Rhinolophus ferrumequinum: one gene and its partners. The protein of the gene in region 3 purifies or fractionates together with the protein of the main gene of each other region. This does not show direct contact. Links are inferred from orthologs where the notes say so. Each region holds a gene or a part of one and is shown on either strand. Other genes may lie near its edges.

Region 1 (7,584 bases), on a different chromosome or scaffold from region 3:
TCCCTCTTCTCAATCCATGTGCCTGTGGGAGGGCAAACCCCATTCCCTAGTCCAGGTGTGGGCATGTAAAACAGGCCTGGCCAATCTGGATATTCCATTCATCTTTCTGAAATGATTAGCTCAGAGTTGGATAGATTCAAGTTGGACCAATTACATCAACCTGCCACTTTGGCTGGACCAATAGGAAAGAGGAGTGGTTTCCCTTCGAGGCTGAGCTGGAAGGGTGGGTCTCCTTTGGCCCTGCTTGGGAAGTGCCTGGCTGAGAATGAAACTGACACAGCAGAAAGCAGAACCCAGAGATGAAGAGGTGCACTCAGAACCACACTATGCCCCTGGCTCTAGCTGCATCCTGGCCATTTCAGTAACTGTGTTTCCCCGAAAATAAGACCTAACCGGTCCATCAGCTCTAAAATGTCTTTTGGAGCAAAATGTAATATAAGACCCGGTCTTAATATAATATAAGACCGGGTCTTATATAAGATCGGGTCTCATATTAATTTTTGCTCCAAAAGACTCATTAGAGCTGATAGTCTCGCTAGGTCTTATTTTTAGGGAAACACGGTATGTGAGCTAAATCATTCCTTTTTGTTCTGAAGTCCTTGAAACTGGGCTTTTGTCTTATGCAACTCAATTTGTTCTATTACAGATTTCTTCTCTGTCCGGACAGAGCCAGGGCCCCTTGGTGATAGAATCTCCTCCATCTATCTTCTGACAAAATCCTGAGGGCTAAGGGGCAAAATTCCCAGCCAGGTAACCATTGCACTGAGCCTCAGTGGCCTCCCATGAGGCAGTAGGTGGGAAACTGCCCTGCCTCTTCCTCACCCCCTCACCTGAGTCCCACTCTTGAAACATAGGTTCAAGACCCCACCTCCTGCCCCATCTACCACACTTATTCAATCTCTGGTATTCAGCACTTACATGTGGTGGGCTAGGAGGGAGTGCTGAGCCCTAGCTGTGAGCACCCTGGACATCATTGCCCTGGGCAGGGCAGATAGGCTGGCATCCATTTACATGAGGGACAGGGAACCTCAGAGGAGAGGTACCAGAAGGAGCCAGGACCACAAGCTTTGGACATTGTTGGGGAGGGAGCAGGAATCCTGAGCTCAAAGCAGAGGCTGTTTCAGATCTGCCCCCAGGCCCTAACCTGAGAGCCAAAGCCGGGACAATAACTGGGGAGGGGCCCTCCAGCATCATTCAGACCTGGCAAGAGAAACGATACCTGGTGATGGTCCTACTCTGGGTCTGAGCACAGGGGACACGCCTTTTGAGTCCCCCCCTCAGCTGCCTGTAACCTTTTGATAGAAAACATATTAATAGTTGTGTATTTACCTAAAACAGTAGTCTATGGGGGTGGGAGGAGATTTGGGGGATTTTAATTTTCATTGTATTTAACAATATTCTATCTATAAAGTAGACACATTTCCTTTGTATTAAAAAGGCAAATGTTTTTCTTAAAAAGCCAAAAAAAAAGGTGAGACACTCTGTAGGTGACAAGTGAGACCACGAGTTGTAGTCCCCTGGGGTCCCCTGGGGGAGTGGCCCAGGTGGCAGAAGAGTGTAGGAACCTGTCCTGGAAACATTTCCTCTTTCTCTTTCACGTCTTCTTAGCCCCCTTACTTGAGGGTGCTGACCCGATGGATATGGTCCTGCCCAAGGGGTGGAAGTGGGGGCGGGACTGGGCCGAATTTTCCCCTCAGACCTGCCAGGGGGTACTGGAAACCTGGAGGAGTGGGGGATGCGCCATCACACTCACAGGACTGGACAAATGGGAGAAGTCAAACAGGTCGGCTGGAGCCCTTGGCTCCCGTCGTCCCCTTGGGAATTCCATCCTACATGTCCTTCCACAGAAGCCCCTCCTTGGGAAGCCCCGCGCAAACCCACCCGGAGTCCGCCTTTCTTTGGGCCTGGAAACGCTTACCTGACCTGAGACTGACGGACACATGGGTACCGACTCAAGAAAATACGCCTCTACCACCAGGGGCCAGCGCCCCACTAACACAGTCTAACAGTTCCCAGGCAGCCCCTACTCCAGCCAGCCAGGTGGGCGGCAACGGCCTGAAAGCTTTGGGCTCCCAGTATCCAGGCAGGCGTGCCCCCTGCTCAGCTGCGCCGCTTCCGAGCTCTCGAGAGAAGCTCCCCAGCGTCCCACTAGACCACCTTCATGCTGGTGTTTCGCAGGCGCTACTGGCTGGGGCGGGCAAGGGTTCTCCGCTCACAGATCCGTTCAGAACCAGCCCCGCCCTCACACCCCCAGAGCCCTGCGGCCTCTCGAAAGCCCCTAGCTGGGACCTGGAACTTGCGGGGGCCAAGGTCAGTACCCTCTCTCCTGCCTCCCACGGAAACAGCCCAATAGGCCGCCGCACCCACCTGGCCCGGGCAGCCGCTGGTGACAATCGCGCCGCACCAACGCTCCTGAGCCAGGATCCACCTCAGCTCCCGCACCGGGAAGGCCCCTCCCCCCCTCAACTAACCTGGCTGCCGGGGCCCGGCCCCGATCCTACTCCCGCCGGGCTCCACTGGACTCGTGCTGCTTCCGGGTGTGCGCGGAGCGCAGAGGCGGCGCCCCAGTCCGAGCCGCCCCGTCCGCCCCGGCGTCCCGCCCCTCCGACTCCCCGCCTCTCCTTCTAGCCCACTCCTCCACCGCGAGTCCCCAGCCTCTGGGCAAAGCTCACCTGGTCCACTGAGCAGGTAAGACACCCGAGGTTAGACGGTAGGAAAAACTGCCCGCGGAAAGGGGATTGCGGTTCTTACGTGGCCGTTAGAGCTCCAGGATGAGAGCAGCCCCGCTTCCTCCGGCGGAAAACGGATGAATTAACAAGGGGGCGTCCCCTGGGGACCAGAATTTTCTGGTGCCTTCTAGGGTTCGAGCTCGAGGAACTCTGCTACTCCCTGACACTCAGAACGGGGTGCTGGTGGATCCCAGGTTCAAGCCTGTCCGAAGGTATCTGAAGCTCCAGGATACACGTGCAAATTCCAGCAAGGACCATTAGCTTGCAAAATACGGGAATATAGAAAACCGGCAGGTGGTGTTAAATGTTGTGTACAACATTTAAGCTGCTTCAAGCAGCTTTAAATTGGCAACCTCAAAGAGGACGCACACTTTCCAACGACGCCCGCCAGGGAAAGCCCGCACTTCGGGTTGGATCTGCAGAATCCCACGGGAATTCTGGGCTGCTCCGAGGTCAGGATCGGAACTTGAACCCAGAGCCCCTCCGGCCTAAGCTTTTCTCCCACCGGCCTTTCATTGGAAGCTCTCAGAACCTCTCCCTAGCGAAGTGGCGGAAGGGAAGGAGCCTCCCTTTTTAGGGCGGATTCAACGGTGCCCCACCCGAGTCCCCGCCTTCTGATTGGCTTATGATCTCTGCCAATTAAAAATCTCTAATGCTGCTGCCCGATTAACCCTGTCGTCACTCTCTTGTGATTGGCGGGGTTAGGACGGATTTCTCAACTTGGGACCTGCGGAGTCAACTGGCGTTTGTTGAAATTCAGATTGCCTACTCTTTCCGGAGAACCTGATTGAGTCCTGTAGTTGGGTCCGCGGAATGTGTATTGTGAACAAGTGTCCGGGTGATTATTTGGCCCCGCGCTGTCTGAGAAGCCCAATGATTTCAGTGGCCCTTCTGGTGAGGCTTGGACCCAGTCCTTTCTTAGTACTCAGGGTCTAAGCTGGGAGAGAAGCAGTTCTGTGACCCCTGGACGATTAGTCTGGCAGCTCTGTGCGTGTATAGGGAAGCAGGGGGAGGCGAGGCGTCTTCTCTGAGCTGGGGGGTGGGGAGGACTGGGTTGTCCAGAGTCAAGGCTTGTGCAAGCGCCCTCCAACTTCCCCATGAAAGACTTTAGTAACTGGGCGGGAAGATCCTATAGCATCGTCCAAAAGCCGGGTATTCGGCAGTATCAACTTTGCGCATAGGGCATGGTTGCGTTCCTTCTAATACTGCATAAAATGGGCATTTTTATTTTCAACAAGTGATAACGTAGTTTAAAGGAGAATCAGAAATCCTTCGGCATCCAAGGCCGATTTCATGGGTCTGAGGCCTCTGCAGTCGCACAGGGCCCTATGCTTGATTTAATAACTTGTTTAAATGCTGTTGTCACTGACTTGAAATTCTTAATGGTTTGAACAAAGAGCACCACATTTTCATTTTGCGCTGCAAATTATGTAGCGGCTTCTGGGCCACGAGTATACATAAGTTCCTACATAAGTTCCGGTGTTCCCTTCAACACTCTGGCCTTCCTGAGCTCAGGGACGTCCCTCTCTCTCCAGGCCGGAGTTGCTGGAAGTAGCGCAGCCCCCACCCAGCCCCGGGCAATGGCCGAGTCTGGACAGCAACTGCCTGAGGAGGTACTGGCGCTCATCTTTCGCCACCTGTCCCTGCGGGACCGTGGGGCAGCCGCCAGGGTCTGCAGAGCCTGGGCTGCTGCTGCCACCTGCAGTGCCGTGTGGCATGACACGAACATCAGGTAAGCTGGCCTTTCCCCTCCTTCCTCCTGCCACCCTATCCTCTTCTCCTTCTCTCCGTAGAGTCAGGGGTTGGGGAGATTCAGTGATTCTCCCCATATTAAAAAGCATAATCATTACTAACCTTTCTTAGCCACCTACTACCGTGTTTCCCGAAAATAAGACCGGGTCTTATATTAATTTTTGCTCCAAAAGACGCATTAGGGCTTATGTTCAGGGGATGTCCTCCTGAAAAATCATGCTAGGGCTTGTTTTCCGGTGAGGTCTTATTTTCGGGGGAAACACGGTATGTACCAACCATTGTTCTAAGTGCCTTACATATATTAATAGGTAGTATTATTATCTCCATTGCACAGATAGGAAATTGAGGCAGAGATTTAATCACGTCCTGTAGATCATTCAGCTAAGGAGTGACGGGCGGAATATGAACTTGGTCATGCCCCACCTCCTTAGAGACAGCTGAGAAAGCCCAGTTCCTAAAATATCATTGGCTCTCCCTGCCAGGGTTTCAGCTTGTGGCAGACGCCATCAGAAGTCTTCGTGATTTGCTAGGATGGGTGTTCCCTCCTAGCATTAGTGGCTACTTTGGGGCAACCAGGCATGGTAGGGATAGAGAGGTGTGTGGGTAGGGAAGAGGGGATGGTATCTGGCCACCAGGCAGACGAATGGGTAGAGACTTCTCTTCGGCTCGCGGGGACATGGCTGATGCCTTTTCTCCACCGCTGTAACCCCAAGCTGTGACTGTGAGCGAGAAGGCATACTGATACCATATCTGTCCGCCTGCCTGAAACATGTTCACAACCTACGCCTGGAATTTGAGCCGTCGAAGAAGCCGAGCCGCAGGGCGGCCACGGAGCTGCTGACCGCATTGGTGGGACGTTCCCCGGGGCTTCGAAGCCTTTGCCTGGAGTGCCGTGGAGAGAAACCACTCTTCGATGCGGGCCGCGACGTCCTGGACGCTGTGCACGCCATCTGCCGGGCCGCCCGCCAGCTGCATCACCTTGACCTCCGGCGCTTGCCCTTCACTCTAGACGACGAGCTAGTGCTGCAGGTGGCACGCGGCTGCCCCGAGCTCCGCAGCCTTTTCCTGAACAACAGTACGCTGGTGGGCAGCGTGGGTCCGGGGTCCGTGCTTGAGCTACTAGAGGCCTGCCCGTGCCTGCGCGCCCTCGGCCTGCCCCTAGCCAGCCTATCGTACACAGCCCTGGAGGCGCTGACGGCGCCGCACCGCGCGCCTTTCGCTCTCCTGGCCCTGCGATGCGCGTGCCCCGAGGACGCACGAGCACCCCCTCTCCCTGATGACGCCTGGGCCGCGTTGCGCCGCCGCCACCCTGGACTGTCCGTGGAGCTAGAACTGGAACCGGCACTGCCTGCTGAGAGCGTTAGGCGCATCCTGCAGCCTGCAGTACCGGTGGCTGCGTTGCGCCTCTGCCTCTCTGCCGACACCGTAGGTCCGTTAGAATTCGCAGCGCAACACTACGCTGCAACTTTGCGCGTGCTCGAGGTGCGCGCCGCCGCCTCTGCGGAGCTGGACGCCGCCCTGGAGTTGCTGGCGGCGCGCTGCGCGGGCCTGCGCGAAGTGCACTGCTTCTGCGTGGTACGACCCTCGGTTCTGCAGGCCTTTCGTGCTCACTGCCCGCACCTGCGCAGCTACACTCTTAAACTAACGCGGGAGCCACATCCTTGGAGGCCCATGCTTGTGGCGTGATAAGGCGAATCCGTCCCCCCACCCCCTGCCCCAGCTGATGTGTGGCCTCTAAGATGCTGGGTGGGTTTGCCTGGGCACACGCCAACTGCTAAGCCCTTCCTTCAGGACTCCGTTGCTTCTTGGGGATGGGGTGGGTGGTCCATGAGTCCACTCGGTGCTCTCGACATCTGCCGACACCCACTGTCCCTGTACTGGGACCACCCTCCTCCAGCCTCCGTCTTCTGCAAACGCTGCGCTAGCTTTGCAGCCCGGGTGTGGTGTGGGAGGGGATGACACAGGCGCAGGCCGGACATCAGGAGTGAGTGAAATAAACCCTGCATCCTGTGAAAGCCTGGGTCGGCTCTGGAGAGGGAGGGAGGGGAGCCTGCAGAGGCCCGAGGAGCCGTCTGGACAGGGATGAGAAACATCGAGACCTCAAGTTCCAGTGTACTGATGCTGCTGCGGGAGTCAGGGCCGACAGCACCCCGCATTCTTGGAATTCCGCCCACGGTTTGGCGGAAAGGTGTCCACTTCTCACCCCCTCCCTTCCCTATCCCTCTTGGCCCGCTCTACTCTGGGCTTCACTTTGCCCACAGCCATCGCCTTCTATCTAGGACTTTGCCAGCCCATACCAGCTATTTTTCCCCTCCCTCCCCCCAAAACGGGAAACAGCAGGCATGACAAGGGTGGAACTCGAACCCAGGTCTCCCTTCCCACCGCACCCCTTCACACACAGCCGATCCCAGCCTGCCCTTACGGTCTGCTGGTGCTGAGGCCCGGGTCTGAGCCCCGCCTGGCGGGTTCGCACGTGGCCCCCACCTGACCCAGCTCCCGGAGGCGGAGTAGGGCGGGGCGGGAGGCAAACACAGCACTTTCTGCGGCTTTGACAAGCCCGCGGCGCCCGGGCTTAGAGCTTTGCCAGGCTGAAACTACACCATGCTGGAAGCGCCAGCCGCGCTGCCCACGGAGCCGGGCCCCAGCCCTGTGCCTGCCTTCCTCGGCAAGCTGTGGACGCTGGTGGGTGACTCCAGCACCGACCACCTGATCCGCTGGAGCCCGGTGAGGGCTGGGGCCCTTTGACTCCCCCAGTGGTACCCGGGATCCCTCAACGTCAGTGAACATCCATACCCACCCAACCGTGGCTTGGGATGCGGCTGTGGGTCCCTCAATTCAGCTGCCCAGGGTAGTTTATCTTGGAGGGCGTGTGCGAGATGGAGGTGAGGCGACTTCCTCCTTGCCGAGGAAAGGGTGGGAGCTTTCTGGAGACCTAGAGCCAGAGGAATCTTTGTGGTAATTTACTTCCCATCCCATGTCATCAGAGAGATCGGAAAACAGACCAAACGAGAAGGCCTGGGTCTGGTTCTAGCTCAGTCACATCGCAGGGCTGGGACCCAGATCTGGCCTCTGCTCCTCCTTCCCGGGAACCGAGTAAGGAGTC
Region 2 (7,547 bases), on a different chromosome or scaffold from region 3:
ACCGTCTCAAGTTCAATTACCCGTTTGCAGTTTCCCCTGCACACGCCCATCTCTGCGGAAGACGAGGACCCCGCCCCGGCCATGCCCCCTACTCTGACCTAGGTCCCGCCCCAGGTCCCGCCCCGCGCGCGCTCACCAGTGCCCACATGCTGCCAGTCCCAGGTGGGGTCGGGCGCGCGCGCGGTCCGCTGGGCGCAACGCAGTAGCTCCTGGCAGGCGGCCTCGCCCTTGCTCTGCACGACCAGCAGCAGGCGGCGCACCCTGCGCTCGGCATCAGGCAGCGCGTCCAACGCCTCGTACTCGGGCCCGGTGAGGACGCCCCGCGCCAGCAGCGCATCCAACAGCAGTCCGGAGTCCGCCTGCAGCGTCTCTACCAGGCGTTTCCGTTCGCGGTCGATCGTCTCCGAAGGCCTCTCCTGAGCGTTGCCCATAGTCAGGGCTGCCTGGGGAAGGGGGAGAGAGGTAGTGGGGGCCGAAGCTCCCCCGCTCTTGACCTCGCTCCCAGGGCCTGAATGAACACTGGTGGCTGGAGTCTTAAATTCACCTCGACCCCAGCAGCGGGACAGCTCCGCAGCACCGTACTCCTCGTATTCCTGCCTCTACAGCCTCCGGTCTCCTCATCAGGCTTCTCCTTGGGTCCCTAAACATCAGCTGGCCCTCCTCTCCTCTCCTCCACTCTCCCAGGACCCTTATGTATCTATGACCGCTCACACCAACCAGGACTTCCCTCCTGAGCCCCAGCTGCCTGCAGACATCGCGATCTGTTCAGACCCAATTTATCCAAACCAACTTCTCTTTCCCAAACCTGCTTCTCCACTTTAACAGGCAAAGACCCACACCCAGATAACAGTCAAGTCCTTTCCGTTCTATCTGCTGAATAATTTCTGTCATCCTCATCTCTTTCATAGTCTAGGCTTTCATCTCCAGCCTAGACCCTGGAGAGCCCTGAATCTCCTCTGCACCCAGAGCACAAAGTGCTGGGAGCCTCCCCTGCTGCTCTCACCCACTGTAAGAAGTCCAGATCTTTTATCCTGACCCTGAGGTCCGTCTTTCCAGGACAGGCTGTGCCCCTGCACTCCCTACCCCCCCCCCCCCACTAACGCTACCACCATGTTGCAACCCCAATATGGTCGCATGGCCCTTCCTGGTTCCTTAACACCTGAGCAGGATACCTAAATTCTTTTGAGTCCTAGCTCTGATCAAGATCTTCTGACATCACCTGAGACTCAACTGTCTCCCTGCTGCCCTGGGAATGACTCACAGCCATCTCTTGCTTCATCTTGTACCCAGGGCCCAACTCGTAAAAGCTACCAACAAATACTTGCCGAACTTTTACTGTTTTCCTCCATGGATTCTCCCATTTTGAAAGACTGTCTCTACCAAACAGGAGGTGTTAGGCAGAAATTAACCTGCTCTGTCCACTAAGGACAATGGCCCATCTCCTCTTGGGTGGCCTGACCCAGACAGCCAGGCTCCTGGCATTAAGGGGCAAAGAGGTCTGCCCCTGTACCATTCCTTCTCTCAGCCCATTTCCACATAGCATCCTCCCGGTCTCATCCTCCCTTTAGGGTCCCTCCTCTACCTCCTTTCTTGGCTCTAGATCTGGGAGAATGGATTTGGTCCTAGCCCCCATCCTGCCTCCCAAGTCTCCCTCACTACGACCTGGTATCATGTTATGCCTCCCTGGTCATATTGAAGTGTCAGCCCTTCCCCTAGGCCACTGCTCAGAGACCAGGAGTACCTCCTGCCCCTCCCTCTCCATTCATGTTCCATCTGTGACAAATGCTGCTCTTCCACTTCTCACTGAGTCTCTATCATCATTCCCCCACAAACCCTCATGATCATCTCATCTCCTATGACAGTCTCTCTGAGTACCTCTCACTCTCATCTCATTACCCCGACAGCACAGTGATTTTGACGATTCTCTGGGGCAGGATTTACTTTCCCCATTTTACAGATGAGAAGACAAGCTCAGAGAGACCAAATGGCAGACCTGTAATCTGACTTGCTCCAGTCTGAACTACAATGAGATCTCCAGCCAAGCAGAATTTCAGCCCTTACTACCTGCTCCCCACTGTCCATCAGAGAGAATTCAGACTATGCTGCCTGGCTGCTCTCCCACACCCCTGGACAGCTAGGCTTTCCCCAACTTCCCTCCACCACTCAGGGCTGGAAGAACTCCCCAAGCCCCCGGTACTTCTGAATCTTTGCAGATGCTGTTCCCTAAGCCTAGCATACCATTCCCCTTCCTCCATGCTGTGGACCCATCCTCCTAGACTCAAATGTCCACTTGTCCACCCCAATACCTGAGTGTGTCATAGGCAGACCGATTTTATCTCATCTCCTATTACACCAGTGAACAGCAGATTCCCTCATCACTGCGCTGACCGTACTGCACTGTGTACCCGCCGACCTCTGCCCTCTTTGAGAAGCTGAGGCTTCCAAAGCTGACCCCCAACCAGGGGTGCAAGAAGGGTGAGGGGATAGAACCTGGTCTTATACCGGTGCAGAGAAGGAGGGGGCCTAGCGGATTGGTCCCTCATCCTCCCTCACTCTTCCCCAAATTAGTTTTATGTTAGCCTCCTCTTCCCATCACGCCAAGTCCTGTCCTTTGTCCTATCTTGGACACAGAAACCCCAGATGGTCTGGGCCCTCCCTCTGAGACTCACTATTCAGAAGTAAATACTGTACCAAGTTATATCGCCGCCAGTCCTTCAAGGGTCACAGGCCAGATTCTTCTCGGGGCACCAGGCAGCTCCAAGTTCGAGGCGTGGAGGGGAGGGTCTCGGCCCCCCTCGCCACCTGGCTGCCCGTTCTCTTTTGCTAGGGAGCGAGGGTTGTGGGAAACTGCGAGAGCCTTTGCACAGGTGCGACCACAAGCTCCCCTGTTCTCCCCTCCACTGGGTCCCAGAATTAGTCCCACGGAGGGGCGGGGCTCACAGACCTAGTAGCGCGGCTGGTTAAGGACGCAGATTCTGCCCAATCTCGGTTTCTTTTCCCTCCCCCAACCGTATGGGATAGAGCTCCAGGTCCGGTGAGCTCCGGGCGGCCCGACTCACGCACGGGTCGGGCCTCGGCGGGTCAGGAGATGACGAGGCAGAAAGGGCTGGGCGGGGTGGGGTGTAGGAGTGGGAGCAGCAGCTGTGGCGGGGGCGGGGCGGCCAGGGCTGCTGGGAACCGGGAGGGGCGTGGGGAGAGCGGGCTGTTCTCCCAGCTGTAGAAGGCAGGTCGCCCGAGGCCGTGTTTCGCCTGGGCTCTTACACGTGGTTCTCTTTCTCCCCCCACCCGGGGCACACTGAATGAGTCAGCGAGGGGGCAACGCGACCCACGGCCCCGGCTCCACGTACCCGGCACCCACTCCGGACCTGGCAATTCCCAGGTTCTTTACCCCTAACTTCTTGTCGACCCCTCTTCATCTGTTACAGATAAGGCTCAGAGAAGGGGACCAGCTTATCCAGGATCACGGAGCGGATGCATTGCGGAGCTGGGTGTGAAGCCCAGAGCCTCCACTTCCCGGAGATTGCAGTGGCTACGCACCAGCCCTAGATCCAGGCGGGAGGATCCGGGCCTAAGCAGAACTAGAAGCCGGCTCCCCAAGCACTCCACTCTCCAGGGGTTTCTCCATTAAAACCCTAGGATCTGGAGGCTTCTACGAATGCAAAGTAGCCTCCATACACCCATGACGTTTGTGCTCCCTGGTCGGTAGAGAAAAGAAACTAAAAACACAGGGGAAAAATGCGGTTTATGTGCACGACTTGGTAATGGGAAGGGGCCACCGAATTGTACGGTCTTGGCTCAGCCTCCGCCAGGGGGCGCCGGGAAGCCGAGAAGGATCTGCGGCTGCAGGCCAGCCCCTCAGTCAGGCTGGCTTCAAAGTGGAGAGCTGCTCAGGGAAAGGGATCAGCGCCCGGGACCAGATAGGAGGCCCGGCTCTCAGGGGGGCTGTAAATGGTTAAAGCTCCAGGCAGGCCGAGAGCTGGGCTTCCCAAAGCCGCGTGGACGTCCAGCAGGAGTGGTGCCTCTATAGTGGAGTCCTTCCCTACGAGGAGTGAGGCTATTATACTCAGCAGGGAGAAACAGTTCCCCCTTCTTGGTCACCCCCTCCTGTCTTCAGGGAAGGAGAGCCTCACCTGCCTTGCCATATAGTAAGTTAGGATGAAACATCCATTCTCAACCTCCCCACACTCATCCAGTGGTAAGGGGATGGGTGGCTTTAGTAGCTCTCTGCAGGCAGCCTGAACTGACGTCACTCAAAACACAAACAGCCCGGTCTATCCAATCACCATAGCTCAGGCCATTCAGGACCTCCCCCAGGTCCCGAGTCACCACAACCATTACCTGGGTCTGGAGAATTTAACCCCTTGACCGCCAGCTCAGTCTCACCCTTCTCTGGAACCAAGGGTTGCATCTGCATAGAAGAACCCCAGGAAGCAGTTGGGGAGGAGAGCTGGGGCTCTAGCTGAGAGAGAACAACCATGGACCAAAGGGCTTGGCTCAGCAACCCATAACCGCCTAACCTCCTCCCTCTCCACCCTCATGTTACCAGAGACAGCTCCATGTCCAAGTCCATCAGGGTCCATTCCTTCCCTTGGAGGCTGGGGCCCAGCACCTGGGGGAAGCTCTGGGTCAGTGGTGGCTTCCCCAGGCTGCACAAACAGCCGGACCCCATCAAGTACCATGCCCCTGCTTGCTGAGGGTGTACTCACATCCAGGGGCCCTGCAGGCTCCACACTTTCAGGAGGGGCCCGAAGTAGCATTGGAGACAGCAGACTCTCTGGGCTCTGGCCCCCCCTTTCCAGGCCCAGAGGCCCCCTGTGTACAGAGAACTGCTCTTAGCCTACAGTACCCCCCGCCCAATTAGGTTCCCAAGGAACCTGGAGACATCAGGATCTAAATCTGACAATATATAGAGAATGCTAGGAGAGGACCCACCGTGCATGTGCGCATGCACGCACACACACAGAGGGCACATAAGAGTGCCTTTGCTTCCTAACTTTGGCCTGAGGTTTGGGTTGTAGAGCTGGGGACTTGGGATATGTCCCCTCCCTATGCAATTGTCAATACCAGTGCTTCCTAAACTGATGTGTACATTACAATCTTTATAACCACCCCAATGATCTCATTTAAAATGCCGATTCCTGAGCCCTACCACAGGATGTTTCCACTTTCCAGGACCTCTGATGCTGGTACTCCTTAGAGCAACTCTGAGAAATCAGGTCAGATCATAGTGCCCGACAGCCCCCCAGCCACCAAAGGGTCGACAAGGCTGGGGAGTTTCAGGGGCCTACTTAGTGCTGGTCTAATTGCAAAAGTGGCCCACAGGGCTCAGTCAAGAATGGGCTCTCTGCTCACCTGCCAGATACCTCCCTGGGACCCCTTGGTTCAGGCTGTTGGGCATTCCTGGGTCCCTCAGGGCTGAAGCTCTCTTTCCCTTCCAGGATGGCCTGCACTACAGCCACAGGCAGCGCTGGGGGGGCTGTCACGCAGAAGTCACACCCATTTGGGGCCAGGGCCAGCCCAGCCTCACCTTCCCCTGCTGGGCTGGCCGGCTCTTCTTTGAGTAGTGCCAGGCCCTTCTCCCTGCACCAGAGAAAAGCTTCAACCAGACCCTGGCACTGACTTCTCCCCTACCCCCCACAGCTATCTGTGCTGCCAGCCCCTTCCCCACAGGCCCCCAGAAGGCTGCCCTTGTCTGTCCTTCTTACCTCTTTCCACCACTGGAGGGAGAAAGCCTGGTCCCTTCAGGGGATGGAGAGTCTTCTGGGATGTCAGAGATGGTGGGACCTCTGGCCCTGTAAGGGCTGCTGAGTCCCAATGTGGTCTCTGGGTGGGGCTGTAAAGAGAACACTAGGCCCAGCCCTTCACCCGAAGCCACAGGGTGAACCAGAACCCAACCAGTACCCACATGGACCAGGTCTAAAGGGGAAGGTTTGAAGTCCATGCTGGGGAGTCTGGTCTGGTGTGAGGGGGGAGAGGCTGGCCTCCATCTTCTCTTCTTGTGGGGGAAATGGAAACGAATAGGCTCTTCATAAGCTCAAGGGTACCCTAGGGAAGGGAGGAGAAGCAAAACCTACCAACTGGATAAAGTAGGGGTCCTGCAGGAGGGCACCAGGCAGGGGGCAGGCACCGAATTTGGCCGGTGTTGGACATGAGCTCCCCTCATCCAGCATCAGGGACCTGTGCAGGGTAGGGGAGCACAGGCAGGGCTCTGGGAAGGTTCATCTCCCATGCCCCTTAGCCTGTACCACCTCCCTCCCACAGGCCCCAGCAGCCAAGTCAGCAGAGCTGAGGCCTGTTGCCAGGGCATCAGTCACATGCTGGACACAGAAGGGGCTCCCCCCAGAGATGGAGGCCCTTTGGGGTTAGAGAGAGGAGGGAGGAAGCCTGACTTGAGCCCCAGACCCTCTGATGTTAGGATGCTTTTGGGTGAGGGGGAAGAGGCTGCTGGGGTGGAAATTTGAGGATAAGGTCCTAGAACTGAGGGATCTGAGTGGGGGATTTGGGGGTTTTGGTGGTGAAATTGGAGGAGAGAGGAAAAGTCCTGGAAGGAGGTTCTTGGGGAGACGGCTATGGGGTGAGAAAGACTGGTGGAGGGGGTGAGAATGAGGATTCTTGATGAAGAGGTTTCTGGAGGAGTCCCTCCAGCAGGAAGAGCGCTGAAAGAGGAGGTGCGGAGGGTGAGTGTCCCTGGCTTTCTCACTCACAGCTTTCTCTTAGCTCCTGCACTGCTGGACCCTCCCTGAAGTGGCCCAAAGAGGCACTGGATCAGCTGAAGAGGAAGTAAAGGGTTAATTCATCCTTTGGACCTTGCCCCCACCCTAACAAGGTACTTCCAGGTAGGTTAGAGGACTGGGGGAGGGGGATATTCAGGGGGAGGAGAGAAAAGTGGGGTGGGGGAAGAGAAATACCTTGCCAATGACACGATGCTGCTGACCGTGGCTCTGCCGCAGGGACACCACCTCCCTCCATAAGATGTCGTTCTGCCTGGGGGGAGGCGTGGGAGGGTGCGGAGGCATCTGAGAGTTCGCCCAGTCACCACTCCCCACACAATGGCAGGCCCCAACCTGCGACCACCCGGATAATCATCCATCGAGAACAGAGTTCTACAGCTCGGCCCATTTGTTTGGATGGAGGCACCAAAGCGTGAGAGGAAGGAGCTGCCCAAACCGCCTGGCAGCCAGTGTCTTCTCTCTCAGACCCCCCTGCCCCCTCCCTGCCCTCCTCCTGCTCTTCCCCCCCTCCTCACCCCCCCTCCCGCTCTTCCCCCCTCCCCACCCCCCCACTCCCGCACTGCCTGAGCTCCCGCAGCCGCGCCTCGGTGCTCTCCTGTACTTCCCGCAAGGCCTGCACCTCGCCCAGCAGCCGGCCCAGGTCCTCAGGGCGCCAGCGGCCGTCGTCGCTGCGCAGCGCAGGCACCTGCAGGTGGGAGGCACTGTGGGGCCTGAGTCGCGTAGAACAGGGCCAGCCGCCCCAACACCCCAACCCAAGTTGTGTGGTTCCTGCACGCCGCCTCACCTTGCGCCGCACGCGTTCCAGTAGTTGCTCGC
Region 3 (7,571 bases):
AGTTTTTAGATACAACACCAAAAGCACAATCCATGAAAGAAATAATTGAGAAGCTGGACTTTATTAAAATTAAAAACTTCTGTTATTCAAAAAACACAAAAGAGAATGAAGAGACAACCCAAAGATTGGGAGAAAATATTTTCAAAAGACACATCTGATAAAATCCGAAACAAACAAAGAATTTTAAAAACACAACAGTTAGAAAACAACACCCCTTTTATAAAGTGGGTAAAACATCTGAACAGACACCTCATGAAAAAAATATACAGATGGCAAAAAAGGCATATAAAAAGTGCTCAACAACACGTTATTAGGGAACTGAAAATTAAAACAATGCTGAAACATCACCATACATCTTCTAGATGCAATAAAATTCAAAACACGGACAAAACCATATGCTGGTGAGAATGTGGAGTGACAGAAACTCTCACACATTGCTGGTGGGAGTGCAAAATGGTACTCCACTTTGACAGTTTGGTAAATTAAACATACTTTTACCATATAATCCAGAAATTATGCTCCCAGTAAACCAAGACTCTTAACCCAAAAGAGTTGAAATTTTATGTCTACACACAAAAATCCTGCACATGAACGTTTATAGCAGCTTTATTCATAATTGCCAAAACTTGGAAGCAACCAAGATGTCTTTCAGTAGGTGAATGGATGAATAAACTGTGGTACAACCATACCATAGAATATTATTTAGCACTAAAAAGAAATGAACTATCAAGCTGTGAAAAGATATGGAGGAGCCTGAAACACATATTACTAAGTGAAAGAAGCCAGTCTGAAAAGGCTACGTGTTATATGACTCCAACTATATGACATCTAGAAAAGGCAAAACTACAGAGACAGTAAAAAGATTAGTGGTTGCCAGAGGTTGGAGAGGTAGGGTAAGTAGGTGGAACACAAGAGATTTTTAGGGCAGTGAAACCGTATTCTGTATGACACTGTAATGGTGGACACATGACATGAGCACAGGACAACTGTACAATGCAAACAGTAAATTCTAATGTAAACTATTGACTTTAACTAATAATAATAATGTGTTAATATTGGTTCATCAATTGCAACAAATGTACCAGACTAATGCAAGATGTTAATAATAGAGGAAAGTTCAAGGAGAGAGGATATGGGAACTCTACTTTCTGCTCAACTTTTCTGTGAATCTAAAACTAGTCTAAAAAATAAAGTCTGTTACTTAAAAAAACCAACTCTCACACATATAATATCACCTGATTAATGGATAAAGATGACACTGCATTGAAATGAAAAAAAAAAGATGATCTTTATGATAAATAGTAACATATAAAAATAAAATGAACTGGGGGTGGCCCGCTGTCTCAGTTGGTTAAAGCACGAACTCTGAACAACAGGGTTGCCGGTTCAATTTCCACATGGGCCAGTGGCCTGCACCCTCCACAACCAGATTGAAGACAATGAGCAGAAAGCTGAGCTTCTGGAGGGGCAGCCAGATGGCTTAGCTGGTTAGAGTGTAAGCTCTTAACAACAAGGTGGCGGGTTCAATTCCTGCATGGGATGGTGTGCTGCGCCTCCTGCAACTAGAGATTGAAAACAGCTACTGGACTTGGAGCTGAGCTGCTCCCTCCACAACTAGATTGAAGGACAAAACGACTTGGAGCTGATGGGGCCTGGAGAAACACTGTTCCCCAATATCCCCCAATTAAATTTAAAAAAGAAATAAAAATAAAATGAACCTTGGGCCGGCCAGGTGGCTCAGGTGGTTGGAGCTCCATGCTCCTAACTCCAAAGGCTGCCAGTTCGATTCCCACATGGGTCAGTGGGCTCTCAACCACAAGGTTGCCAGTTCAATTCCTCGAGTCGCGCAAGGGATAGTGGGCTCCGTCCCCTGCAACTAAGATTGAACACGGTACCTTGAGCTGAGCTGCCTCCCAGATGGCTCAGTTGGTTGGAGCGCGGGCTCTCAACCACAAGGTTTCCAGTTCAATTCCTCCACTCCCGCAAGGGATGGTGGACAGCGCCCCCTGCAACTAAAATTGAACATGGCACCTTGAGCTGAGCTGCCGCTGAGCTCCCTGCTGGCTCAGTTAGTTGGAGCGCGTCCTCTCAACCACAAGGTGCCTGTTCGACTCCAGCAAGGGATGGTGGGCTGCGCCCCCTGCAACTAGTAATGGCAACTGGACCTGGAGCTGAGCTGCACCCTTCACAACTAAGATTGAAAGGACAACAACTTGACTTGGAAAAAAGGCCTGTAAGTACACACTGTTCCCCAATAAAGTCCTGTTTAAATAAATAAATAAATAAATAAATAAATAAATAAATAAAATAAACCTTTATCTCCTACGTACAGAAAATTCAAATCCAGATGGATCATAAACCTAAATATAAAAAGGAAAGAAACAAAACTTTTATAAGAAAACCTAAGAGAACATTTTCATGATGTTAAAGTAAACAAAGATTCTTAAATAGGAAACAAAAAGAGTTAACCATAAGGGAAAGAACGATCAGCTGGGCTGTATTAGAATTAAGAGCTTCTGTTCAGAAGATGATACCATTAAGAGAGTAAAAAGGCAGGCCAGAGAACAGAAGAAGAAATGTTAACGACATTGCCAATCACAGAATGGCGTCTCCTCTGCATTCCAGCTCCTTCAATATCATGAATCCACACCTCCAAAGTGAAAAGCCTTCAAATGATTTTCTGAGGGAAAATTTGCCTCTTGTTTTGAAGTGAATATTAACTGAAAGACTCAGGCTGAAAACCTAAACTGATAAGGTTGCCACTTTAGCCGCCTCAATCAGCCACGTCCCCACCCAATCTGATGAAACACTCACTCAGCACACAAGCTGCTACACACCAGAGCTCCATTAAGCAGGATCTTCATGCAAGCCAGCATGGTCAACCCATAAGGTAAGGTTCCCCATGATTTTCTTGCCCTGCATTTCCTATTATATTGTTCTGGATATTTTTCTTTATCTTGTTAATTATTTAGAGTAGAAAAGAGAGAATCAGTTACCATGACTAAGGAAGTAGGGTGTTTGGAGCTCAAAAGTCGAGGCTGTTATTCATTAATACATTGTGCTAGTGGAAATTCTGCGAAATCCAGCCATCCCTGGCAAAAGGCAGAGCTGAGGGGAAAGAATGGAGCCAAGAGGAAGGATCTCCAGCCTGAAAGTTTCAACGTCCCAAATGTGCTCTTGGTTTATTGCAAGAGAAACTGAAATTTATATATATTAAGTTAAAAGAAAAGTATTACCTGGATATCCAAGTGGCCACCAGCCTAGACAATTCCAGAAACAAGCTGATTCCTTCTTAAAATTCTAAATAAATTTATCAAAAGGTAAATACAGATGCTTCTTTCTGGAATGTGTTCTTGCCAAGAAACGCCTCCAAAAATATAATGAAAGTCAAATGAAGGGCATTTTGCTAGCGCTCCTGTGAGTGCAACTTCTGGAATTTCCACAGGCGGAACAGATTCAGCAAGTCAGTGTGAGAGGGTGGGGCTCTAAGCAGAAAATGAAATACAAGGTTTTCTGTATCGTGCTCGCATGACAGGCCATTTTACGGCATGGAGAGAGCACAGGTCAGAGCATAAGTTACCCAGACTTGAATCTGGGCAGTTCAATTTAGCTCTCCGTCCAATTTCTACATTCCAAAAGAAGGAAGTTAGAAAATCTAGAAAACTTCTAAGATCACTTTCAGTTCAGTATTTAAGGAGTGCATGATGGTGTGCTCTTTTTTTCATTTAGGACATCTATTTTTCCAGGATTCTAGTTAGGACATTCATTCATTCTAGTTGGGACTTTATTGAGTTACAAGAGGATCCAAGGCAGACGATAAGGGTTCACCACCTTGAGTAATGGATGAAAGGTGCTATCCTTTCTCATGGTACAGAAGAGACTGCCCACAGTTGATGGGGAGAAGTCCCTCCAACTGACGGGATGTGAGCAGCTTTGAACCTGTGAGCTTGGTCATGGGAAACGGAGAAGTGGCGATCTAACCTCTCTCCCACAGAGAAGCCTGTGTGACTTTGACATCACCCAGTTCCGGAAGTTGCCCCTGCCCTGTATTTGACAAACTGCTGGAGGTGTCACCCCCTACCTGACCCCACAGATAAACAGCTGATTGTGCTGCTGCTAAATACTACAAATGGGCATTTCTCTAAACATGGACCTTTCTGGTACCTCAGCGACCCCAACCTTATTATTCTAGATCCAATGTGCTGCCACAGTTGGACTCTGACAATGCAAGAGCAAACGCCTTCCTAGGTGTCAACTTGTTCCTGTCAGACCAGGGCAGTTGGAACATCTCAACAGGGGGAATGGGATCCACCATCAGGGCGATTTTGACCTCAGTAGCGAAGGCCGTCTCCTCCCCTACACTTGCCCCCACTTTACACAGACTTTTCAGTTCCACTCAAGGACCCTGCCCACTGGGAGTGACTTCTGGCTGATAGAGTCCCATGGTAGCAATGACTCTTACACTCTAAGCATTATGTGGGCCCCTTTGGATTGTTATTTCTTTTGTAAACACAGGCCTTCACCTGCCTTCCTCCTAGCAATGTAATGCATATATATGGGGCATTCATGTAATCCATATATAGGGGGCATTAGTAAGAGACTTCCAAATATTCAAAACAGTCCCACCCATTGAGCATATTGCACTACACTGAGTAAGATGGGAACTCCAAGACCAGGGGGACCCCGGTTATTCAGGAGAATTACTAGGGGCATTACCAACTCCAGGTAATTATTTCCACTGTTGGGTTCCCTCAGTTAGAAAGACAACCTGTCTTTGACTCTTGCTGAGGTCATTCATGGCACTACTTTAGCTTTGAAGGCACAACAGATCAGCCTCAGTTCCTTGGCCCAAGTAGTGTTGAATACCTGCAATAGCCCTCAACTTCCAGCGGCCAGCCAAGGTGGGGTCTGTGCAATTGCTGACACATTGTGTTGTACCTGGATCAATGAGGCTGGCAAAACAAAACAATCCATCACCAGGCTTAGATAGAAAGCCTCCTGGATCTCTGAAGTAGACCCAGATGGACTATCAGACTTCTTTTCCTGACCTGGCAATCTTTGGGGCTCATGGTTATGTTCAACCCTCCAGGCAGGTCTAATCATCCTACTTGGAGTGATATTAATTATGATCTCAGACTAATTACCTGGTTCTTGACACAGTCCCTCAGAGTCCCATTATGGTCCGTGATCAGGTAGCCTATGTATTTCCCTTGGACTCTGAAAATTGAAAGGATGAAGTTGAGAGTCTGGCTCCAGGCCAAAATCCTATGTGTGATCTTTCAGGCCCACACATCGGCAATTACAAAAGCTTTACCTGGTCAACCTCACAGGTAAGCTGCCCTCCCCACATCAGATATACATGTGAAAGTAACTTGTTAAGTTGTCTGACTTATTAAATTGGGGCGGTTCCCCAGAACAGTGTGGAACAATAGCATTACTAACAGACAACTTTATCATGTTTTTGAGTTTAATGAGAATGCTTACAAAGTCTCCCTAATGAGTATGAATTTTAATTTAGGTTTCTGGTAGATGTTTTTATCTACCTTCTTTCCATTTTAGCACTTTCCTTCCATCTTAGCTCCCTAGCATTTTTTTAAAATAAGGAAGGGGTGTTAAATTATAAAAACATTTTTCCCCCAGAATCTTTTGAGATGATTATAGGATTTCTTACACAGTCTAAGTTTCTTAAAAATAAATTGCCTGCATTGTGCTTGTGGATTCAGGACTATGTGCACCTCACCAAATTAGTTGGTGACATGTCTTTTTCTATGTTCCATAACTGCTTCAGTAACAGAAATTTTCTTGTGTATAAATTGACTGTTTATCTATTTTTGTCACTTATAAAATGGATATGGGGTACTGGCCTTTTAATGTATAAGAATTCTTTTTTTTAAAAAATTTATTGGGGTGACAATTGTTAGTAAAATTACATAGATTTCAGGTGTACAATTCTGTATTACATCATCTATAAATCTCATTGTGTGTTTACCACCCGGAGTCAGTTCTCCTTCCATCACCATATATTTGATCCCCCTTACCCTCATCTCCCACCCCCATCCCCCTTACCCTCTGGTAACCAGTAAATTATTGTCTGTGTTTATGAGTTCTTGTTTCTCATTTGTTTGTCTTGTTCTTTTGTTGTTTTTGGTTTATATACCACTTATCAGTGAAATCATATGGTTCTCTGCTTTTTCTCTCTGACTTATTTCGCTTAGCATTATATTCTCAAGATCCATCCATGTTGTCACAAATGTTTCTATATCATCTTTTCTTACCGCCAAATAATATTCCTTTGTGTATATATACCACAACTTCTTTCCAATCATCTATCAAAGGACATTTTGGTTGTTTCCATGTCTTGGCCACCGTAAACAAAGCTGCAATGAACATTGGAGCACACGTGTCTTTGTGTGTAGATGTTTTCAGATTTTTTGGGTAGAAGAATTCTTGATATAGAGTTCTTCAGCTTTTATTTTTCTTTTAGCACATATATTTTTCCAACTCTGTTGTTTTCTTTTGCTTTATTTGTGAGAGAGAGAGAGAGAGTGGGTGTGTTTTTAAATTATTGGATATTCAAGCATATCTATTTTATTTCTAGTATTGATCTCTATTTGGTCAATAGTGAGGTATACCAAAATACTTCATCTTCATATCATTTTTTTCTATATTCCTTTGTCAATTTCTCTAACTCCTTTTAAGCTTGGATAGGTCTTTCGCACACAGAGATAAGAAATTCAATCAATTTGTTTGTTTTATTTGTTTATTTTTTAAATTTAAATGTTTGACCCAATGAACTCAGGGCCCTGACTGCATTGTGCTTGTGGATTCAAGGCTATGTACACCTCACCAAATTAGCTGGGAAAAAACGTATTTTTCTGTTCCATAACTGCATAAGGGCTTTTTTTTTTTTGAAAAAACAAGGCAATTTTTTTTTCAAGTTACAAAAATATGTATAGGTCAAAAATACAGTCTAGTCCATGTAAGAGTAGTTCCAGCCTTTTAAAATCTATACAGAGTTTGTAAAAAGCAATTCATATACAAGTCTTAAAAAACGTTTCATGAATAGTATACAACCATTCAATTCAGTTATTGCTTGTTATATGCAGCTTTTACTGGAGACTGTTCTCCGTAAGGGAAAGGGCAGTGTTTGGGTACTCTGATTGTTATTTCTTAAGTTGTGGTTTTAAAAATCAATCAAAAATCAGAATAAGCTCACTTTGAATAAATGAGGACGTATTAAGTTTTGATTAGTGCTACGAGTAGGAGTGGTCTGAATTTCAGTTCCTCCACCTTCTCCTATTTAATTCTATTTTGTTAATATATCAGAAATATTAGTGTGTAGTTTGGGGCAAGAGTAAATGAATTACTGGTTTTCAAATGAAGTGATAAGAAACATTAACTTTGAGTTCCAATGTAAAAACAAAGCTGGCATATCCAGTTTAAAAACTTTAAAAGAATAAATTCAAGAATGGTCGAACATTTAAAGTTTAACTAAAAACCAAAGCTGCATTTCTTTCTCTTTAGACATTGAGATATAAAATGAATCAATTTGTTCTTTTGAAGTTTATGGG
Region 4 (7,916 bases), on a different chromosome or scaffold from region 3:
GATGCTCTCTAAGCTCCCTTCCAACTCTTACCAAATCTAAATGTCGATAAGTCTTAGTTTGATGAGCTGGTGAAAATCTTAAATCTATCTCTCCAGTTTCCAAAACTATGTTCTGAAGTTTCATGAGGCCATTGCTCAACATTTCCATCCTCTCCCTGTTCTAGGTCTCATACAAAGAATTTTCCTTTATTGCTAAAAGTAGCTCACGATTGCCTCTGTGCATGAAGCTGGAATACCCTTCGAATAATGGCTGGAGTCTTTCCCCAAGCTTTCTAGTGACTGCAAAAGAACCATCCTACGTGGATGACTGATTTTGCACTTATTTTAAAAAAAGCTTTTAAACATATCCTATAAAATATGTTTTAAAACTCTTGGCTCTTGAGTAACATCTTTGAGAGTTTAAAGAGGAGGAAACCTTTCCTATAAACATCGCTCTCTTCCTCCACTGCCCCTTTTCCTGAGGACTTACAGCCACCACCCTGTGTATGGGAACCAGGAGGCCGGAGGAAGGGGACTAGCCTGGGGCCAGCTGCTCAGGGGCAAAGGTCCAGGGATGTACTTGTGTGCATCTCTTCCCAAAGGCCAGTGGGAATTATTTTGAATGGTGTGCAGTACCCAGATACACTGATTTTGCACAGTAAAATTCATTCACAGGTTAGGGCAGCTCAAGGAACCCAAATGACCAGAGATTCCGAATTCGCCAGGATTGCTCCGTTAGCATGCATGTGCCCGGGAATGGATGCTTTTCCTCATGGGAGCCGCCTGCAATTCAAGGCCTTCCACCCACATGGTTCAGCACGGAGGGCTATCTTTGGAAGCTCAATGGCCATGCATAAAAGGACTCACCTATTTGCTTCTCCAGAGATGATGCTATATGCCTTTGGCTGGTGGACTGGCAAAAAAGAAAAAGACACATAATCAACATGAAGTTCTTTAAGCGAGAGGCAGAATTATCAACTAAACCCAGCCCTGGAAAGGGACTCTAACTACCGCAGAAGCTCTCCTGACTCTGACTTTGGCCGAGCCGCTGTGCCTCCCCATGCCTCAGCTTTGTGATTCGGAATAGTTCCGATATTTTTAAGCATTAAGAAACAAAAATATGAAGATGGGCCATTTGAACAGATTCACTTCTACACAAGACTCAAAGTTCTTTTTCTTTCTCGGATCACCAAGTACGCGGCTCAGCAGGCTGACTTGTCACAGGACACAAGAAGATCTGTCCCTGCCATTCCTATTACAGCCTTGATCCTTTCTTTCCCCAACAGAAAATATTCCTTTTCCTCATGGGAACCACCTGCAATTCTCTGTCGAATAAAATGTCTAGAACGACCCATTTCTGAGACAGGAAGCAAGGATTGGAAAGCCCTGTGCAAGACTGCGGTCCCCGTGGACCCCTGCACGGTGACAGAGCTGTGTGACCCCCCCGTGCCTCCAGGGCACAGCAATCCACACGCCAGCTTACCTCTCTGAGCTCAGCCAGCTCCTTCTGTAGGTGGAAGAGCTGAAACATCCCCAAGCCCAATCCAACCAGGGCCACCAGCACCATGAAAAACATCACAAGGAGACACAGGCCTGCGCTGTGGTCCCTTTGCTTCTTCAGAGGTGGCAGTGGCAGTGGCGGCAGCGGTGGCAATGGCGGCGGTGGTGGTGGCGGCGGCAGTGGTGGTGGCCTCCTTTGACCAGGCCTTGCAGGCACCGAGGACGGACACGGGAGGACTGAGCCTGGAGGGGCCCAGGGAGAGCTGGCACTGCTGTCCACCCAGTAGATTTGGGGGTACGGGTAGTTCAAGGGCTGCTGCATGGCAGCCAGTGACTCGGGACGCCCCAGGCAAAGGTTTTCCTTCTCGATCCCGGGGAGTCCCAGGGATCAAGGAGGGGACCTCTGCTTCTGACTGACCAAGGGAGGGGAAGCCAGCTCCTTCTTTATAGAGTTTCCATAGCCCAGGGAAACACCTCTCTTTCGTTTTTTCTTTCTGCTTCTCAGAGAGAGACACCCACTCACTTTGCATCTGAAGGTGAGAAGCCTCAAGAAGCTCTCAGCACAAAGCCCAGGAAGTTGCCACCCACAATTTTCTGATGAAAGCCTTCAGAGCCCCAATGATTGCTCCTGCTACCTGAAAGGCTGGTGGGATAGGCTGGTCTCTCCAGCCCTGTGAGAGCAGGTGGAACGGGGTGCAGCCCTCTGTGGTTTTGGCCACTGCCCAGCTATGGCGACCGTGGCCATGGGACGCGTTCAGACACTGAGGGGCAAGACCATGGAGTTGTGGCCACAAGCGTCGTTTTCACATTTTACCTTTTGCATGAGGGAGGGAGTCATCGGCCTGCTGCCATCCCTTCCCCGCACCCTGACTTTGCAAAGCACTGTAACTTGCAGGTTAAACACCTTCCCCACCCACTCTGCAAAGATTAGATCAGAGGTTGCAAAGCAGTGGCCCCTGTGCCTTGGGGAACCCACAGACCTGCTCTGTGCCTCACAATGTTTTTGCTTTTCATTAGTCGTCTTCTTTTAAAATTGGGATATTTCACATTAAAAATATATACTTCTCTTCTGTTTGGAAACATTAGAATATTGGACACCCTTGAGGCCATGTCTGCGAACCTGATCAGCTGGAGCAGGGCAGCAGCTGCCCCCAAGGATGAGACATCGGTGCTCCAGGCTGCCCCACCTGTACCACCTTCCACCCGCCACACAGCACCTCCCATGGGTGCCTTCCTGGTCCCATAGGCATTTCTGTTTGCAGCCACTGTTATGGTTATCAGGGGAAATGCATGGGGCCCAGCTCAATTTTCATTTCAGATAAACAAAAAATAATTTTTAGGATAAGTATGGCCTAAATATTACATGGAATATACTTAAAAAAAAGTATTCATTGTTTATCTGAAGTTTAAATGTAACTGATTGTCCTATTTCTTTGTCTTTTATTAAAGATGGCAACTCTATCTGGACTGACCCCACCTTTCCCTCCGGCCTCAGGTACCACTGATATGCCAGTAACTTCCAAGAGCTCAGCTCCAGTCATAATCATTCTTCCATATAAACCTCCCATAAATCCCTATGTTGCCATTTTATTGGAGGGCTATACTTTTCCAATTTCATTAGCTTCTGTATCATGCTTTGGCATCTCTGTGACTAGCATTCTGGCTCTTCACCTGTACCAAACCAACACCAAACATGTTTCCCTGCCATGTTCTGCCCACCCCACCCCTCCCTCACGCCCTGTACAACCTGTTTCACCTGAGGTCACTCTTTCTGGTGACAACTCCCACTCCTCGCTCTTCTCTCCCCCAACATTTAACTAGTCACCCAGGACTGTGGATTTCATCTGAGACATGTTCCTCCCATCGCACCTTCTCCGCTTCCATTTTTCCTGCTGCGATTGCCTAGGTCAGACTTTCATTATCTCTCACCTGAAATATTGCAATGGTACCCTAACTGGTCTCTCTACCACCAGCTTTTCCCAAGCACAAGTCACCCTGCAAAATGCTGCAAGAATGATGTTTTTTTTAAAAAATCTAATTATCTCACTTGCTTACCGAAACCTTCTGTTGGAAGGTTTGACAACAGGAGTTATCCAGATTCTTCTTTAGCATAAGACGGGCTTCCTTATAGTCTGACTCCGACAACTAGTACTCTAACAAATGGCACTGCCCCCTCTCCAGACCCTCTGCCCACATCCTACTCTCCCCTCACACAAGTGTGAGATGCATGAGACCAGAGTGACTGTACAACGTTCTCACTGTATTTTAGAGTTGGGCAGAGTTAATGTGCTTTTGGACTCACTTATGGCTTTATTCACAGTTATGAAAAATGGTAAGTTTAAAGTTAATATGTAATAACCTGGAAATTTAATTGTAAAAATTCCACCATACATGCAACAAGAAAAATAGCAAAAAAAAAAAAAAAAAAAAAAAAACACACCAAAAACCAAAACTAAAAACCAACCTTAAAGTATCCTGAAATAACTCTATCACAAATTACGCAGAACAATGTTTTTTAAACTATAAAGATTTTACCCAAAATGGCAAAGATTCTAATAAATCCCACCATTCTGGATAGGGAGGACAGAAAGAGAGTGTGGCATGATGATTATGGGTGTGTGGTTCTGGACGTAAACTGCCTGGGTTCAAATCCCAGCTCTTCCAACTTCACTGTGTGACCTGGACAGGTCACTTTCCATCCTCTGTGCCACAGTTTTCTAATCTAGAAAAATGTGCACGATCACAATGGTACCCATTGCAGAGTGCACGGTGAGGATTAAATGAGTCAAAGCATTTGATACACTGGAGACAGTCACTAGCACCAAAGTAAGCACTGAACAGAAGCCGTTATTGTCAGTGCAGTGAATCTCCCCACATACACGTCAACTATTGACATAATGTAAGTGACCTTCCTCCATTAAGGATAAAAGAAGAGGAAAGAGGTTGCAGAGAAAAGTATAAGTCAATGCCTGACATCCAGTGTCCTCAGATTCTACCAGTGAACTGATGGACAGACGGACCCCTGTGTTTCAGGCTAAGACCCCCCTCCCCACCCCCTGCTTTTTATCTCACTCTCCTACAGAAACTTCCAGCATTCTTCAGTAAAAATTATGCTGTGTTTTCACATCTCTCCCTGCCCTGATTCTTCTCTTGATTCATTCTGTGATACGAGAAATCAGAATCCTTGTAAGTGCCCGAACCACCCAAAGCCCGCCGATCTCAGGGCGACTCTGAACTGAAATAGTGACAAAGGAGCAGCCTTTCCACATTGGCATCGCTCTTTGGTAATGCCACCAAACATCACAGGATGGCAAAATCATGGGAACATAAACACCCCTGCAAACAATAACAGGCACCCATCATCGTTTGGGGTACTATCAGAACCTTGTTAATTAGCAGAAATAATCTGTGCAAAGTGGATCTCAGCTCTGTGATTGCTGAAGAAGAATATATATTTGCCTGAAAGAGAGGCTTTGAGTTAATGAATCAAAGAGCCGGCAGGCTGGCAGCCCTCCACGTGGGGAACCCAGACCGAAGGGCCTCTCTCAGTCTCACCCTACCTGCCTACTTTGCACCTGTCCCTCTGATTCTGGAACCAGGGTCCTTGAGAATGGACAGGGGAGAGAGATTCCGAGCTGGAGATTTCTTTCAGGGGAAGGGGTAAGATTGCCAGTCACAGAGATTTAATGGCTGTGGGTGAGACTTGGGAGCAAATTTAAGTGTCGGACCGAATCAGAGAACTCGCCTTGTACAAACGTGTTCAAAACTTTTAAGCATCTTACCTCATTAGCTGAAAGTTCAAATGATGTTTAATTATGGTCCCTCTAGAATTGGAATTACCTTCAGAAATGGTCCTGCATGGCAGTAGCATAGAGTGGTGCATGGTGAAAACAGCAGCTGATCGTCTCCCGAGGTGAGCAAAGGCTCCTAGCGGGAGCTTGTTTATTCACAAACACAGACGCTACCCTGTACATTTCACAAAGTACTTCCAGGCGGCTCATCCGAGTGTCTGAGTCTGCTGACACCAACACCAACAGCATAACTGTCTTGTCCCATGTCTGCCTCTCTGTTTGGTGGTATTATCCACCTTTCTAATTTTTTCCAAGCTTTGTGGTTATAAAGCTGTATCTTGCCTATTAATTTTCCTTTTTTTTTTTTTTTTGGTTTCCTGTGAGGTTGAACATCTTGTCATATACTCGTCAGACAGTCAGGTTTTCCCTTTTGTATTTCCTGTTCATACATCACACCCATTTTTTAATTGGATTTATCTCTTCTGCACTGAGTCACAGGATCTCCTTGCACTTCATATTCTAGCTATTAATCTGTGGCTACTTTTCGACATTGAAAATACCTTCTGCCACACTGTCATAAATTTCATATTTAGGCTTCAATCTATCTGGAGTTCACCTTTATTTGTGATGTAAAATAAAAATCCATGTTTGTTTTTCTCCATGTCTGAGCCAGTTTTCCCGACACCATCCATCTTCTCCCCCAGGGAATAACAGTGGTATGTTTACCACATACCAAGCTTCTACATATAGTTGAGTCTTTTTCTGGGCTCTTATTTCTGTTTCATTGATTTCTCTATTCCAGGACCAGGGTCACACAGTTTTCATAATTACAGCCTTGTAGACTGTCTTGAGAGCTAGTTATGGCAAAATTCCCCCTTATTGCTCTTGTTTTTCAAAATTGACTTAGCTGCCTGAGTATATTTAACCTCCCATTAATGTATTAGGAAAAACAAACTACCATGTTCCCAAAATGACCTGCGGCACTGTTTAATTGTACTAACTTGGGGAAAGTGTTATCTTTACAACGTTTCCACCCTATCCACCGTTTTTCATGTCTTCTATATGACCTTTACAATTTTCTCCGGGATGGTCTCACACATTCTTTCTTAGATTAATTGCTTTGTAATGTTGTGATTATACATGGTGTCTTATTTTCTGTGGCATTTTGTTTTTATTCTGTGGTAGGCAGCCTCTAAGATGACCCCCTTGTTTCTCCTACCTCCTGATATTTGTGCCCTTCTAGGATACCCTCCCCTTAAGTCTGGGCTGGACCTATTGATCCACTTCTAACTGACAGAATATAGCAGAAGTGATGGGACAGCACTTCTGAGACTAAGTTATAAAAAGACTGCGGCTTCTGGATTGCAGATGGCTGGCTTCTCATTGTAGCCTCACATTGGGGGAAGAGAGAGAGGCAGCAAGCTCTCTTGGGACTCTTAAAAGGACACTAACCCTATTCATGAGGACTTCACCTTCATAACTTCATCTAATCCTAAATATTTTCCAAAAGCCCCACCTCCTAATACCATCGAATTGGGATGCAGAGTTTTGAGTATGATTTTTGGAGGGACACAAACATTTAGTTCACAATACCCAGTTAAGTCTAGCTTGGACTCACAAACCTTGTAAGATAATAAATACACGTTATTTTAAGCCATTACATTTGGGGGTTATTTGTTAGGCAGCAATAGATAACTAATACAGATGGCTGTTACTGGTTTAAATAAATGCTCCTTATTTCGTAATAAATAATCTTGAATCTTGCAAACTTGTGGAAGTCTCTTTTTACTTCTGATTAGTGTGTCTGTGGATTTCTGATTTTTTTTTAATGTACATATATATTATGGGGGGGGGAAATGACAATATTTAATCCTCCCTTCCAATGCTTATACCTCATTCTTTCTCTTTTCTTTTTGTATTGTCTCAAACCTTGAGAACTATATGAAACAATAACTGTGATCATGAGCATCTAAAGTTTTTCACAACAAGTGTGATGTTTTCCTCAAGTTTTCGTTTTTTTGACGTATCACTTCTGTCAATAAGCTTCCTGTTCTAGCATCAGGATTTCATCAGCAAACAGATGGAACACTCACATGAGGGCAGGTTGAAACAGGCTTAATAAAAGGGACTGTTTACAAACATATAGGTACGTTGTAGGGAAATCATAAGGCATAGTATGATGCTCTAGAGCTAGAAGAAACAAGCTTCTTGTGACCACTAGGCAAAGGAAGAGACAAGTTACAGGAACCGACAAAGGGGAGAGCATAGTGTGAAGGCACCTAAATGTGAACTGCGACTTCCAGTCAATAACTGCCACCAGTCCACGGTGCCTATTTGTTCACTGGGTAAAAGTCGCAACAAATACATGCTGACCGAATTCATGAAGGCAGGAGGGTCCCAGGTCAGGAACGGGACTCCTTGGGGGGAATCAATGCAACCTCACTCAGTGACACTATGTGCCCCATCTCCTGATGACACTGCAGGTACCACGGGCCTGCTGCTGACTTTACGGTGGAAGTTTGACAACATTGCATTTTTCTCTGCCTCTCTCTGAAAAGGGCCTTGTCACTCGTTTAATTGCCACTAAATTTGATCATGTGGGTCTGCTGTTTAAAATACACTTTTGTGGCTTCCCATTGCCTTGAG

What was found.
Region 1: the proteins of CASP8 (region 3) and TRADD purify together in Homo sapiens (affinity purification with western blotting; 6 studies listed by BioGRID and IntAct, with this or other methods). This does not show direct contact. The link is inferred for Rhinolophus ferrumequinum from reciprocal best matches to the Homo sapiens genes CASP8 and TRADD.
Region 2: the proteins of CASP8 (region 3) and NOL3 purify together in Homo sapiens (affinity purification with western blotting; 3 studies listed by BioGRID and IntAct, with this or other methods). This does not show direct contact. The link is inferred for Rhinolophus ferrumequinum from reciprocal best matches to the Homo sapiens genes CASP8 and NOL3.
Region 4: the proteins of CASP8 (region 3) and FASLG purify together in Homo sapiens (co-immunoprecipitation; 8 studies listed by BioGRID and IntAct, with this or other methods). This does not show direct contact. The link is inferred for Rhinolophus ferrumequinum from reciprocal best matches to the Homo sapiens genes CASP8 and FASLG.

The regions. Positions count from the first base shown.
Region 1 is NC_046298.1:16,895,218-16,902,801, forward strand, and holds the start of TRADD (tumor necrosis factor receptor type 1-associated DEATH domain protein), read right to left. Parts: upstream 3,255-7,584; 5' UTR 2,752-3,254; exon of another isoform or gene 2,571-2,751; intron 2,549-2,570; exon of another isoform or gene 2,368-2,548; intron 1-2,367. Other genes in the region: FBXL8 (F-box/LRR-repeat protein 8), read left to right, coding at 3,543-3,623, 4,265-4,461, 5,195-6,167. UniProt on the Homo sapiens protein: Adapter molecule for TNFRSF1A/TNFR1 that specifically associates with the cytoplasmic domain of activated TNFRSF1A/TNFR1 mediating its interaction with FADD.
Region 2 is NC_046298.1:16,903,324-16,910,870, reverse strand, and holds the start of NOL3 (nucleolar protein 3), read right to left. Parts: upstream 3,095-7,547; 5' UTR 2,692-3,094; intron 444-2,691; 5' UTR 432-443; coding exon 137-431; intron 1-136. Other genes in the region: HSF4 (heat shock factor protein 4), read right to left, coding at 3,888-4,039, 4,339-4,459, 4,544-4,609, 4,707-4,812, 5,353-5,580, 5,706-5,833, 6,075-6,177, 6,705-6,769 and 3 more.
Region 3 is NC_046291.1:30,095,951-30,103,521, forward strand, and holds the start of CASP8 (caspase-8), read right to left. Parts: upstream 3,332-7,571; 5' UTR 3,237-3,331; intron 2,891-3,236; exon of another isoform or gene 2,806-2,890; intron 1-2,805. UniProt on the Homo sapiens protein: Thiol protease that plays a key role in programmed cell death by acting as a molecular switch for apoptosis, necroptosis and pyroptosis, and is required to prevent tissue damage during embryonic development and adulthood.
Region 4 is NC_046305.1:8,088,532-8,096,447, reverse strand, and holds the start of FASLG (tumor necrosis factor ligand superfamily member 6), read right to left. Parts: upstream 3,176-7,916; 5' UTR 1,802-3,175; coding exon 1,463-1,801; intron 893-1,462; coding exon 847-892; intron 1-846. UniProt on the Homo sapiens protein: Cytokine that binds to TNFRSF6/FAS, a receptor that transduces the apoptotic signal into cells. Involved in cytotoxic T-cell-mediated apoptosis, natural killer cell-mediated apoptosis and in T-cell development.